Linked DNA regions of Arabidopsis thaliana. The protein of the gene in region 2 interacts with the protein of the main gene of each other region in a pairwise test. Each region holds a gene or a part of one and is shown on either strand. Other genes may lie near its edges.

Region 1 (7,545 bases), on a different chromosome or scaffold from region 2:
TTTCGTTATAAACACCAGCTTTTATGTATATTATCACTCTATTCAACCGACTTTTACCCATTCTTGAAACGGCGGCTAATGCTTGGTTTATCGTCCGATGAGTCGCCGAACCGTCCCGAGCCACCACGAAATCTGCCCTTGAACTTGTTGGATTCCATGACACTAACATTCCACCGTTTTGGTTTGGTCTTGATGGTCCATGGTGTGATCTTCCTGGTCCATGATTTGGTCTCGTTGGTCTATGTTTTGGTCTCGTTGGTCCATGGCCCTGTCTCGCTGGTCCATGCAGCCCTACCAAATGTTATTAGAGATCCATAATAGATAAACCATGATATCTCAAACAAAAATTTACACTTATCTTGGAGTCTACAATCGTTATTTAGTGATAAAACAGAGCGATTTATTGTATCATTTTATTTAATTATGTATACATGAATGTATGTGTAAGTTTTCTTACTCTTTTTCATATGACCTCTAGACTTTTTGTAGAAAGCCAAAGCTTCATGGAGCACGAACGTGACGTTGCTATGGACCAAAGGCTTATGACCTTGACGTTGCTGAATTAAACCGTCTAAACAAGTGTGATGATTCGCAAGCACGCCACTTAGCCACGTTCTAACATCTTCAACGGTGAAATTCTCATGATCTACGACCAGTTTCGATAGCCTAGCTTCACTCTCATCGTAGAGCTTCTCGCATTCACTTAACCCCAATTTATAATAACTACCAGCAACTTCACTAGTTGCCTCAGTCACAGCCATTGACCCAAAACTAGTCTTGGCTTCAACCACAGCAGTTCTAGCCATTTCAAGTACATCCAACTCGGCTGTGTTTGAGGCGGTTATGACGGCAGCAATGGCTAGAAAGAACATGATAGTGATTAAGTCGGTGACTTTTACAAACGTGGACATTTTTAGTAAATGTTATTATAAGATTGTTGTAGTGTTTAGTAATTTTCTTGAAATGCGTTTTAAGTAAATAATTATTGATGTTGTTGTGTATTTAACAGCAAACGAAGAATGGAACTTGTCGTAGAAATGTAGATGAAGATGGTGGCGAGGAATCTAACAGATGGAGAGAGAGATAAGGCACGTGTGAGAGTATGTGTAAGCTTTTGTTTATATGATTATTGATGGCCCATGCATATGAGACTAACTTCATTAATTACGTTATACATTTCAGGTTGTAAATTAGTGCAACGCTCTGTATCAAAGTGAGTAAACGTATACGTCTATGTGTCAAGAACACAACCTTAAGTTGTTCTTCTTCATCATAAGTTTATTATCTTCAAGAGCTGAGAGACTACTATATATACTGGATTAAACCTAAATTTTTATATACTGGTATAGTGATATATAATCATAATCCCATTATTACGAATTTACGATGGATAAGATATATATATATATATATATATATATATATATATATATATAAATAAAAGAAATTTTCAGGATTTGGAGTCAAAAAGAAAAGAAAACAAAATCCATGAATGATCAGTTATATTTTAATAGAATAATATATAAAGTAATAATTTTGTTGGAGTAATATGTTGTAACATTAGTGAAAATTACTATTTTTGTCATGGGTTTATATGTTTTTGGTAAAAGAATTTCTTGAATTAATTTTTAAAAAAATACAAAAAAAAAGGAATGGTTGCATGGAAAATGTTTTAGTCTTTTAGATATGTTACACGGCTTAGAAGCTTAGTAGGCCGAGGCCCAGTCCATAATAATTTAATGGCTCAATGGAATATGTGGTGAAACCCATGAGAACCGGGTAGATCCGGATCGTAGAAAACCAAAGAATTGATTGAATGGAACCTCTCAAGTCTTATAAGCCTTCTTCTTTTTTTTTTTTGCCGGCAGAACCTTTTAAAGTTTAATGATACTCAATCGATCGAATCACGTTGTTCTCCGGAAATGATAATCTACTTATCTAAGTATGAGTATCGAATAATTGCGCCTGCTAAGGAAAGTGGATTTTAGTCTAAAACTAGTTAATGGAATAAAGTTAGCATCTTTTTAAGGCAGACAATACGGGTCACACTATACAAATATTTAATACCTCAAAGCTAAAAATCATTATATCATCAGTCACTAATAGTTTTCCTTTTGATAAACCAAAAATTTCAGCAAGGAACGGTAACGGATGTGTTCCTCCTACAAAATAAAAGGAATAGTGGAATACAAGAGAGTTCAAAAAAAAAAAAACAGGTCCCTAGAATCTTGTATCCCGAATCATGCCTTTCATTATATCAATCTGCAAATCAGATAAGAAAAATTATGAGATCATGATACTTATTTCTAAATATATACTAAAAATGAGTGATTTGATCTTAAATCTTAATCATGTGAAGATTAGGCAAGTAAGTATAGACTTACGCATGGAGTTTCTACAAAGGGAGAGGAGAACAACAAGAATTGCGAATCCAGCAATGACTCCTACGATGATCGCGATTGATTTCCCCACGTGATCTCCATTCGTTGGATCTTAATAACGAAAATTAGATCAAATTTAAAAAGATCTTAATATTGTATGTGACAAATTAAAGTACATAAGATAAGGACAATATAGTATCAAGCTAAGAATTAGATTTTCTAAGATGCAATGACTTTTGGACTATGTGATATTGATCAAGCTATAAAGAATATATAAAATAAAGTTGAAAATGGGGACATGGGTGGCTATGCCTATAAAGAAAAGAATAATATATTGCAAAAACATTCTTTTCTGACCAATGATATTATAATCATGATACTCGAATTTTCCAACGAATGATTCAAAAGATTAATTCTATTTTATTCAATACTTAATGGTGTCTTTCCAGTGGAAATTACAAAAAAAAAAAAGCAACGAAAATTTTATGATTTCTTCAACTTTCTCGTGCTACCAAGGAGCGACTAGACTTGTGATTTTCTCAATTATAAGCGGCGGAAATTTAAATTTTGTCAAATTCTCACACATTTCTATACAGTTCATTACTACAATTTTCAATTATATTATCATGGCACTAAGCATGATTCACGAATATAATTAAAGAACTTACGTAAATTAGAGCAATAGCTAATAAATGAAATAAAGATTTTAATTTATGGACTGACCTGAAGAGAAGTCATAGTAACCAGAGCCCCAATAACGAGCATAGCACTGAGCCAAGTAAACCTCAGCTGCAACCGCCGAGCCACAAAGATTCTTTAATTTTCCGACAGACTCGGCAAGACAAGCCGTACAGTCACTAGGACTCAAGTCACCAACACACTGAGCATAACCTTCGACTAAACCGGACCGGCTAACTTTGTAACCGAGTTGAGTCGACTCAAGATCCGACAACACATCGTCTCTCCGCTTAAAGAAATCGTAGTCATTCTCAACGCTCTTGGAACTACACTTCTTGTACCTAAGACTTGTGTCTGGTTTCCCTAGAAAATCGTTTGTTTCGTAACGTAAGAAGCAGCCTTCGAGCTGGAGAGAAGCGCCGTAAGAGTAAGGACAAATGAGAGTGATTTGATCGACTGAGGTTTGGATGCATTTTGAGCAGTCTGATGATCGGAGATCGTCACGGCATTGATAGAGGCCGAAGACGGCGGAAGAGGATGAGGAGGAGGAGGAGTCGTTGCCGACGGCAAAGCTGTTGAAGGACGCGTCAGAGGAGGAAGTGACGACAGAGGAGAGGAAAGTGTCGCGGTTTGACTCAAAAGGTGTGTTTGGTGTGTATTTTTCCGGTGAACATCCTCCGTAGATGAAGATGTGAGATTCTGATGAAGATCTTGAGGAGGAGGATGAGTAAAAGAATAAAAAGAGGAGAGAGAAGAGAAAGAGTCTTCTCATATTTTCTTGTTCTTTGAGATTGTTTTCAAAGGAGCTTTCGTTTTTGATCTATCTTATTCCTTGTAGTGTTTTATTTAACAATAATAATCGAGAATGATTATTCATCACTATGGGTCCGAAACTTTTATCGGCGACATTAATACAAACATGTATAATGCATACCGTAGTTAAGAAATAAGTGGATATATATAAATGTAGCTAGGATGAATACAAAACTACATAATAGATCAACAAACGTGGTCTAGAACATTCACTTGTAACGAATCAATACCAAAGTGTAGACAAATTGGATGATAACATTATTGTTTTGTTAAGAGTGCCTAAAATGATTTAGACATGATTAAAGAAGATTTGGTTTTGTGGGTATAATAATATCTTGAAACTTCTTTTGTGCAAAGAGGGTCCCATTTTAGGCATGTCCTTTTGATTAGTATATGTTCGCTAGATCGATTCCATCACACATATTCTCATCAAGTTAGTGGAGAATTTTCAAGTGATAGAAACAACTTTCTTTAAATCCTGACCACGACCAAAAGGGCTAATTAGATTGATCATAAGAGATTTAAAGAAAACGACGACTAAAGTGCTTAGCTTCATCAAATGTATAACCTAGGCGAAATTTCGATGCTTCTCGACCTATCTTCACCTCTACAAAAGAGTAATTTTGAAAGGTGAGAATTTTCTCAAGGACGCTGCTAGACTCGTCTTCTTCTTCATCATCTAACCATAGAGTGAGCTTCAGAAGTGTTGCATTCTCTAAGATGTAGTTAGCAACCTCGGTTTCAGCTTTTCGGCTTTTCTCTTGGTCAGCCTTGGGCGTCATTTTTATTTTGACATTCTCAATGGATGTTTGGAGACATTTTGGCACTGGTGAGCTTGCAATTTCCTCCATCTTTGGATAACCATGAAGCTCCTACAAAGGAAAACACCATAAGACATGTATAATATATATAGTCACTCGCTACTCTCAATACCAAGAGAAGGAATCATTACCAAGTCAATAGATTTTAGGTTGGGACTGCTGGAGAGATATATAGGCAACATCTCTGAATAGTCGGTATGGAGAAAAGCGTACAAACGGGTCAAGTTCTTGAATTCAGGCAGTTGTTGCAGTTTTGTGTAAGCATAGGTTCCCTGTCAAGAACCAACACTTGGTAAGAACAAATACATGCATCTAGAGTATGGCCAGAGATGCTAAGATCTGTGACCTCCGAGAACTCAGCAAAAAACTTGTGCAAAGTTTGCGTGTTTGAAAAGTCATCTCCCCATAAAACCGTACATCGATACACATCTTGATAGAAGAAATAACACTTTCCACTCTGAAGTCTTCCAATGGAAAATCTCTGATACGCAGAAACTCTAAGCTAGGAGTGTCAATCACAAGTCCAGATTCTCCATCATCACCCAAGGAGACATCATCATTTTCTCCCTTAAAGATAAATGTCCATAGACTCAAGCTCCTTAACGTCTGAGATCGCACTTTCAAAAAGTCAACTCCAACATCACAAATGCTCAAGACTTGAAGAACAGGAGAGCACGAGATAAGCATCTCTAGAACCACATCACTCGGTGTACTGCGAAACCCTAAATGCATAACCTCAAGGTGAGGTAGATAGAAAGACTCACAACTATCAAAATCATCCAGAATTACATATTCTAACCGCAAGTTTACAAATTTAAGAATCTGTCGAGAAATTAGGTACAAACCAGGAACACTTTGCCAGAGATTTCTCCATCTTGTCGGTAAGACACTTGTCCTAACAGACTCACTCGTGGGAAGATTCAAGAGTATCTCTTGCAGCAACTCATTGGGCAATTGGCTTATCAAATCTTCCATTGGTCCCTAAATTGATCAACAGAACAAAGAGACAAAGACACGGTATTTATTAGCTAAGGTCTAAGAAAACAAATCAAAATTAAACCGCGTTCTGCAACATGAGTCGTAGAAATTTCTAGACCAGTTAACACGAAATCGCATTCATAGAAAGCAAATTAAGTTGAGATCAAGTTCACAATCAACGTACGAGCAGAGCACTCTCAGATATTTCCAAAACCTAATAAACCAAAAAATTTGAGACGAGTTTATGGAAAGAAGGGTTTTGGTTTCACGTTAAAAAAGTATCTTATCTTCTAAAGACTCTGGTCTAAAGAGAGTGTTTCTACTTTTTTTACAATAACGAGCTTTCGAGACATGACTAGGGTATACGTATATCACAATTATTATGTATGAGGTTAATTTCTATTTTTCGTTACTCTTTCTTTCTTATTAATTATGTTTTAAGAAAAAGTTGTATATTTAGTCATTATCTTATTGGAGACTGGAGAGCATGAAACCACACACAAAAATCAAGATACTTGGTCGAGAGAACCAATATCCTAGTCGGTAACCTAAGAGCAACCACATTGGTGAGCTTTTAGCAAATATTTTTAACAATAATTTTATAATTTATTTTGAAATTAAGAGTTTTAATAAAAAAAAATTTTTTAAAAGTGTATTTTGTCTCTTATATAAGAGTCAAATCTTAACTATTTTACCAATTAAATATTAAATTTAAATTTTAATATCTCTAAAAATTATATCAAGAGCCCACCAATGTAAATGCTCTAAGAGCTTGTTAATCCATATATAGCACAGTAGCACTAGCGTTATAATATTTAAATCGAAATGTAGAAGAACAAAATAAATCAAATTAATAAATTATCGTCAATTAGCAAATAAAGATTGAAAAAATTATAAGATTGTTAGTCAAGGGAGAAATCCACACAAAATCTATATCAAACACAGTTTGGTAAACTCTACGAGATGTTTTATATCTGATGGTATGCGTTATCCAAAGTATATTACACATAAAGAAGGTCCAATCTTCATATAAAGTTAAACAAGAAACTAGTGATCATCATAGAGGCAATTAGGATAGCCAACCACAGTTGATGTAATCTTCTGTTCATAACTCGACTCAAATTTCATTTTGACCTCATCACAAGCAAATTTCATGGTCCCTGCCTTATTTTCTCTGCAATCCGGAAGAAACAACCGCAACCCCAAGCGCACTTCGCTTCTCTCTTTAATGTCGTTCACAATGTTTTTTCCAATCGCGCCATTGATATCCTCTTCAGAGACATCCCCTGAAACCTTGAGCAGTTGAGGCCAATGAAACAGAAGATTGTTGTAACTGATCAAGCAAAAAAAAATAGATTTTTCGTTATAATAATATAATATATATGAAGAAAGTTAAATAATTAAAATAGATATTTGAACCTTCTTGGGGGTGAAGTAGCAATGGTAATATTCTTGTAAAGTAAAGAAGCTTGAAAGTCTCCTTGTAGACATATATAGGAACCAGGAAGGTTTTCGGGAACTCTAATGGATAAGTTCCATTTTGCACTAAGATGAGTATTTATATCAAACACCGTAAAATTCATAAAAGCTATTGTACTATACGGCACATGATTAGTTGTTATAGATTTCGATAGGAAATAGGAACACGAAAACTTCACGGCGCACAACGTTACCCATACTACCAACAATTGGGAAAAACAACAGAAAATTAGTGTTGCTGCTGGTTCCCCTTTTTTTGGAACTTCTTCTCTGAGTTCTTCTTTATCAACAAAAGCTTCTTTTTCGAGGTCCATCTTGTATCGTTGACCAAACAAGATCAAGGAAGAGAGAAAAACAAATGTGGAGTGCACGAAGAAGATGAGAGATTGTACAAA
Region 2 (7,529 bases):
AGAAAAAAGATTGAATTTTTACAATTTGGGGTGACTCAATTTTGTTGACTAGAGTGTTTGGAGATATTTCTAACTAAATGGGAACAATGCACCGCAGGTATAATTTCCTTAACTGATAGATTGTAATACAAAAAAAAGAGTTTTTTTTCCAATATGAAGATTACTACTTAGTGGTTAGTTTTGCAGTGGTGCTCCTCGAAGAACGAATGAAAATGCAAAGGTTATTATTACTACTATTTTGGGGATAGTGTTTGGGACTTTTATTGGTATCACATTACCTTCACTTTCGTTTAAGGTATGAGTTTTGTTTTTCATAGGTCCTTTTATGTGTCCCTTTCATTTTTGCACCTGTTGAATTTTGTTTCGTATTCCTGCAGATTAACTTACCCTCGCGCCTTATATCATCTCTTGATGTAGCCATATCTGGTGACAAATCCCCTGAAGATTTCGGTTCAAGAAAGTTTCCTGAGGTATATAATAAACTTCTTGTTCGGTTCCCTTTCGTTAGCTTTTCGATTATGTTCTAGAATAGTGCCTCATTTCAGATGAAATGTATCGTTTCTGTATGTTTGATTGCAGATATATGTTCCAACTAACCCGCGTGGTGCAGAACTACTACCTCCAGGAATCGTTGTGGCGAAAACTGATTTTTACTTGCGTAGATTATGGGGAGAACCTAATGAAGTATTGACTTCTCATTCTATATTTACTTTCTCAATATATATGGTTTTATCTCTGAAGGCCATTAGAATAGTTAATGTCAAAACAATAACCTTTGCAGGATTTGAAGAAGAAGCCAAAATATCTTGTGACATTTACAGTTGGATTTGAGCAGAGGAACCATATTAATGGAGTTGTTAAGAAGGTTCTGCAATATCAGCATGTGTTTTAGCAAGTATTGTTTTATATATTCTTTGTGGATACACTCAGATTTTTTGTTTTCTTGTCATATCTTCAGTTTTCTGAAGATTTCCAAATTTTGCTCTTCCATTATGATGGCCGGACAACTGAATGGGACCAATTTGAGTGGTCGAAGAGCGCGATTCATATTAGTACAAGAAAGCAAACAAAATGGTTAGTCATCTGGTCATTTACCGGTTATTAAGTATGTTTGTCGAGTATGTTTTTATCGAAATTCTCTACTGGTTTTGGCAGGTGGTACGCGAAGAGGTTTTTGCATCCTGATGTTGTGTCAGCTTATGAGTACATATTTATATGGGATGAAGATCTTGGAGTGGAGCATTTCAATGCGGATAAGTAAGTTATTACTTGTCTGAAGTAGCAGAACAATCTTATATTTTACATTTTGTGATGGAATTCTATTAAAACTTCAGGTACATTGAGTTAGTTAAGAAGCATGGTTTAGAGATTTCTCAACCAGGCTTAGAGCCTAACAATGGACTCACATGGGAAATGACAAAGAGGAGAGGTGACCGGGAAGTCCATAAGTAAGATCTCCTTCTCTAACCATTCTTCTTTGCCTTTCTTTCAAATTTGGTTCTGAATTAAGAAATGTGTTGTTACTTACTGTTGAACAGAGATACAAAAGAGAAACCAGGATGGTGTAAAGACCCACATTTACCTCCATGTGCCGCGTAAGTCTCTCTTTGAAACGTTCTCTTTAGAGCAACTCAAGAGTGTTTAGTCATTGTCAGTACTGAGTTTTCTGAAAAAAATTCCCTCTCACAGGTTTGTTGAAATAATGGCGCCTGTATTTTCTCGAGAAGCATGGCGATGTGTGTGGCATATGATTCAGGTTCGTCGATCTGTAGATACATAGTCCTAGTCTTAGTCCATCAAAATAATGCTTGTTGTTTTGATCAGTTTGTTTATGTTTCTGATGCAGAATGATCTGGTTCATGGATGGGGTCTCGACTTTGCGCTTAGAAGATGCGTTGAAGTAAGTTGTTTTTGCCCCCCCCTTGCTTACCTTAATAACACAATATTCTCTTGACTGATGATGAAAATTTGTGTGTTTTGCTTTTGCAGCCTGCTCATGAGAAGATTGGTGTTGTGGATTCGCAATGGATAATACATAAAGTGATACCTTCACTTGGAAGTCAAGGAAAGTCAGAGAATGGGAAAGCTCCATGGCAAGGAGTGAGAGATAGATGCAAAATGGAATGGACAATGTTTCAGAACCGATTGGCTGATGCTGATAAAGAGTATCTTGGGAAGATGGTGAAAGATTAGATTTGTTTTTCTTTTTTCTTTCTATATAATTAATATATTAAAAAAACTTTTACTTTTGTATATCAAATATTTTACACTAAATTAGGTTTTCATAGGACATGTGTGAAGCCCTTTTTATTGATATTGTGTAAGATTTATACATTTTGATTGAGCTTTATTATGTTGTTTGTTACTTTCTCCATTTCAAATTCTTAGATGTTTTTAAAAAGAAATTGCTTTCACTAAACAAGAGAGAAGTGAAACATGTAAAAAAAAAAAACTTTAGAAAACAAAGGTGTAATAGAAGTGGTTGTTATTACATAATCTTTTTGACTTCTGAAAAGACAATAAGAAAACAAGACTTATAACCAGTTTCATGATTTATCTATTTCACCCAATTTCATAAATTGGCTATTTTATATTTGCTCTCAATAGGTAACGTAAATGGTAGAGAAATTAAGGAGAAGAGAAGGGTATTGGTATGGACTTTGGAGTGAGTGTGAAGCTTTACACCAAATCCAAATAATTTCAATTTTCATTTTAGTTTCTATTTTACAATATTTTGCCCAATAGAAAAAGTATGAGAAATTCAGTTTCACCTTCCTTTTTGCTTTTAGTTCAAGTCAATTGTTTGTCCATAGAAAACCATACAATGTCTCCCTCCATTGGCTGTTTCATTTCAGAGTCTTTTTTATGGTTAAGAATTTGCTATCATATCATTAGTAGAAGTCTCTTATGAGGAAAAACAAATATTAAGCAACATCATTATAGTTTTTCTCATGTATCTTGTGCGTAATTATGTAAATGTCATAATTATTAAAACATGAAATTAGGAAGAACAGAAGTTTGGTGTTAGACACCAACCATTTTTATACAAACAAATAATAAAAATCTCATTATATCACCTTTGCATTTCATCACTCATCACATTCACAATCCTTCTCTTTTTCTCACATCAATATATATCTCTCTTTCTCTCTCTTCATTTGATAGATTTGAAGATTTGAGAGGAGAGAGAGGAAGAAAAAATGGGAGAGATGAAGAGTATGCAAATGGGTGTGATTGGAGCATTGTTTCTATCAGTTGCATCTTCTGTCTCCATTGTCATTTGCAACAAAGCTTTGATGACCAATCTTGGTTTCCCTTTTGGTAATTACTAGTACTTTTTTTTTTTGCTTTGTGAGAATATATTTTGTAAGATCTTTATCAAAAACCCGATTATTCGTCTTAGGATTGATCGCTTTTTTGCTATGGTTTTGTTACAGCAACAACACTTACTAGTTGGCATTTGATGGTAACATATTGCACACTTCATGTGGCATATAAACTAAACTTCTTTGAGAATAAACCAATAGACATGAGAACTGTTGTTCTCTTTGGCCTCCTCAATGGCATTTCCATTGGTCTCCTCAATCTCAGCCTCGGCTTTAATTCCATCGGCTTCTATCAAGTATATATCTTCGACATACTTTTGATCATGTAACAATTATATGATTCACCAATTTGATGTTTGTCCATAACTAATGGCAGATGACCAAACTTGCTATCATACCATTCACTGTTCTTTTAGAAACCCTCTTCCTCAACAAGAAGTTCAGGTGAACCAAACTTGATACATAAGATTATTTTAATTTTTATTGTTTACATAAATAACTTTTTTTTGAATGACATATTTTGGTTTTGCAGCCAGAAGATAAAATTCTCATTGTTTTTGCTGCTAGTTGGGGTTGGTATAGCATCAATCACAGATCTTCAGCTCAATTTTGTTGGCTCTGTTCTATCTCTCCTTGCCATTGCCACAACTTGCGTCGGCCAAATTGTATGCTTTAAGTTTCATTAAACTAATGTTTAATAACTAATACATAGTATAATTAATATGACTATGAAAATGTTGTGGTGAAGCTAACAAACACTATCCAGAAGAGACTGAACGTGACATCAACACAACTCCTATACCAATCAGCCCCGTTCCAAGCTGCTATACTCTTCGTCTCGGGTCCTTTTGTCGACAAATACCTCACTAGCCTCAATGTTTTCTCCTTCCATTACTCTCCCATCGTCGTGGTAATTTTTTACATCGTTAATTCCATTTATTCCCAATTGGTGTTAAAATAGAATTAGAATCATTGTCCTGGATCGGTCCAGCCCATTTTCGCATGGCCCCTTAGAGCCGTGCCCATGTTGAGCCATGATTGTATCATAACGTCCCTAGATAGATACTAAAATTTTGTGAAATTTGACAATGATGAATCATGCAGGGGTTCATAACGTTGTCGTGTTTGATAGCGGTTTCGGTTAACTTCAGTACGTTTTTAGTGATTGGAAAGACATCTCCGGTGACATACCAAGTCTTGGGACATCTCAAAACGTGTTTGGTGCTCGCATTTGGTTACACTCTCCTTCACGATCCCTTCACTCCTCGTAATATCGCAGGAATACTCATCGCTGTCCTCGGGATGCTTCTCTACTCCTACTTCTGCTCAGTTGCTTCTAAATCCAAACAAGCCTCCTCCGATTCCACTTTTCTTGTACGTTAACCACACAAAAAGAAAAGATAGAAATAATGAGTGTTGAAAGTTTCTAAGTACTTTGGTTTTATTCCTTTTTTGACAGGGGAAAGATAGAGATACGACGCCGCTTTTGGGACAAGAAAATGAGAACCATCATGAAGCCAAGAAATTAGACAAGCATTCTCCAGTATGAAATAGTACAATAACTCTTTCTTTATGTTTCGACTCTATAATTGTGTCCCTTTTTTTTGTTCATTCATTGATAATGTTTTTGTAATTGAGAAAAAATTGAAATAGCCAATGGGCATTTTCTCTTCTTTTTTATATTTACATTTCCTATTTCATTTCCTCCTTTTTGGATCTTACAAGGATTATAAAATTATTTTCTCTCGTACGTGTTCTTTGGTTTATGTTAGTGTTCTTCAAATGATCAAATGATTGTTTTCTATTAAGAAGATAAAATAAAATAGTATAGTACTAAATAGTGTTTAAAATACAATTAGTTTCAAAACGGTTTTGGACTTTTCGGTGATTAAAATGTGATAAATTATGAAGTTTTTGAGTTTATGGAAGAAAAATGATGGGCGATTTGACATATGCATATAATTATTATCGGTTTTTAGGATAACAGGAACCAGAAATTTCTAATAATTGAAATGCTTTATGCTCTTATTTTTCCTTTCCATATAAAAAATTTAAATGCAATTTATAACATATATACATATAGATATGTATATTGTTAAATATTACATGTGCGTTACGTCTAACGTTTACGAGAATTCATCCTCTGTTCACATGCTACGTTGTCGTTGTTGTTTTATCTTTCCATGAATAGTATATGTATAACATTTTTATGTTATGGTCTTATGGACCTACAAAGAGAATTGGCAATGAAACTTTCCCTTAAAAGCGAATAATTTTTTTAATTAAAAACTAGTGGTTGTGAGACTTGCAAGTTACGAATGACAAAAAAAAAAAAATAATAATAATAAATGAGAAATGGTCTTCAATCTTCATCAATAGGCCAACTTGTTTGCAACAACCAACAATCCAACTAAAAATCATTTTAAACAAATTATATGATGATGACTTATTCCTACAAATTACTACAGTTTTGGCCTTTTGTCCAACGATGTTGTGATACGTTTCTACATATTTCTCAATCGATCAACGCTAATGCTTATTTTTCAAGATTACTATTTTGTCTCCATGTGTTTTCAGAGACTATGCCTTGTCTTTGTTGGTTGGTTTCACTTTCTTTAGCCATTTTTTTTTTTAAGTCTCCACTCATATTGAATTAGTTAATTTAGGAGTTGGCAAAATAAAGTAAAACTATGGCTTGCATTTTAGTATAAGTAGTTTCTGTATGTGAATGTGATTAAGCTCCCAAGAGTTTTGTCTTACCTCTTGTTGTGATATGTTTATTTTGATTTTCTACCCAATAACATATCTTGTAAAGCGTTTATAACAAAGTAGTGTTTGATGGGTACAAACCACCCAGATGAGCTATATGACTTTTCATTTGTTTGTTTTTGAGCCACTGAGTGACATATAATCTAAAATTGTGCCACTTTCCCATTAAAACCATATGTTTTCAAGCATAATATCTTAATATCAGTATTTTAAAATTAAAAGCAAGATACTATTTTATCCACTTTGGAGAAGATAGATATTTGGAAAATTTGATAAGAATACTAATAAGAGTCTGATGCAATTTGCACATTAACCATTGATAAATAAGACACAACAAGCTCACTTCCGAGAAAAGAGTACAAAAATTAATATTACTCTAGTATAGTTACTTTAATACTTCAATGTTGTATATGATCAATGTACCACGCTAAATCTATTAAATATGTGATTTATACAAAAATTTACATGTGAACTATTTTTTAAAAAACTTTATCTACCCAGAGATTAGTTTTGAACTCCTCCACAGGTGGTGAGGATTTATCTTCAATTAACAGGAAAAAAAAAGTTTATCATCATTCACTCTAATAAATTTATTTCTCCAGTTTTCCATCTTCATTTTTTGAAAGTAATATATATTAAAACTTGTAAATTTTAATTTTATAAAATATTTATATTTTACAGTTTATAATTGTTATTAAGTAACGCTATACCACGAATCCATGAGACAATTGTTAAAATTTTTAAGTTTTAACCCCTATTAAAACAGCATATTAAACATATTTCAAAATTTTATAAATATTGATTCAAATACATCTACCATATAACCCAATTCCAAAATAAAACCCGTTCTGTAATTTCTTTACCCGTCCCGTGGTTTTTTTAAAAATAGTAATTTTTAAAATTTAAGAATTATTTTTTATATATAAAAGTTTTGCAAATTGTATCATTCTCTAATACATTTATATTTTATAGTTTAATTTTATATATAATAACATTATACATACCACATAACATTTTTGGTTTTATATAACCTTTTCTAAATTAGGATGATTTGATATGTTTAATATTAGTGGTCTTAAAATATAATAAATTAAAGATTTAATCCGTATTGAAATTGTGGATTAATTATATTTTACTTTTTTATTAATGTTGATTCAAAAACCCGTCCCTCCAAATCCGTCTTGCCAAAAAGCCATTTATTTTATTAATATTAATTTTATTAATGACATGACTCTGAATTATAATCTAAACATTTTATCTAATAACAAATGAGTGCACCATATTTATTTAATAGGAGACTGTACCATATGACCCGAATGCACTTTTATCCAAATCCACCAAAAAAGTCTTGCAAAAATACTATAGAGATAAGAAACGATAGTCGGTTTTGATAGGTATAAGATTAGCAACTATATAAGTTAGCTTAAATTAGTT

Evidence for each region. Proteins that work in one complex are often made in the same cells at the same time.
Region 1: the proteins of AT2G28315 (region 2) and PDLP8 interact in a protein complementation assay, tested with the Arabidopsis thaliana proteins (one large-scale study listed by BioGRID).

Annotation. Positions count from the first base shown.
Region 1 is NC_003074.8:22,438,321-22,445,865, reverse strand, and holds PDLP8 (plasmodesmata-located protein 8), read right to left. Parts: upstream 4,096-7,545; 5' UTR 3,832-4,095; coding exon 3,105-3,831; coding exon of another isoform or gene 3,088-3,104; exon of another isoform or gene 2,493-3,087; coding exon 2,350-2,492; 3' UTR 2,263-2,349; coding exon of another isoform or gene 2,258-2,262; 3' UTR 1,992-2,257; downstream 1-1,991. Other genes in the region: AT3G60730 (Plant invertase/pectin methylesterase inhibitor superfamily), read right to left, coding at 1-291, 458-911; AT3G60710 (F-box family protein), read right to left, coding at 4,394-4,744, 4,825-4,965, 5,111-5,405, 5,493-5,668; AT3G60700 (hypothetical protein (DUF1163)), read right to left, coding at 6,719-7,004, 7,091-7,464. UniProt on the Arabidopsis thaliana protein: Modulates cell-to-cell trafficking.
Region 2 is NC_003071.7:12,085,696-12,093,224, forward strand, and holds AT2G28315 (Nucleotide/sugar transporter family protein), read left to right. Parts: upstream 1-2,971; 5' UTR 2,972-3,200; coding exon 3,201-3,321; intron 3,322-3,437; coding exon 3,438-3,622; intron 3,623-3,702; coding exon 3,703-3,770; intron 3,771-3,858; coding exon 3,859-3,991; intron 3,992-4,074; coding exon 4,075-4,236; intron 4,237-4,430; coding exon 4,431-4,700; coding exon of another isoform or gene 4,701-4,709; exon of another isoform or gene 4,710-4,785; coding exon 4,786-4,875; 3' UTR 4,876-5,070; downstream 5,071-7,529. Other genes in the region: AT2G28310 (trimethylguanosine synthase (DUF707)), read left to right, coding at 78-97, 187-295, 378-470, 580-684, 782-865, 959-1,074, 1,156-1,257, 1,335-1,448 and 4 more. UniProt on the Arabidopsis thaliana protein: Nucleotide-sugar transporter that transports UDP-xylose and UMP in a strict counter-exchange mode.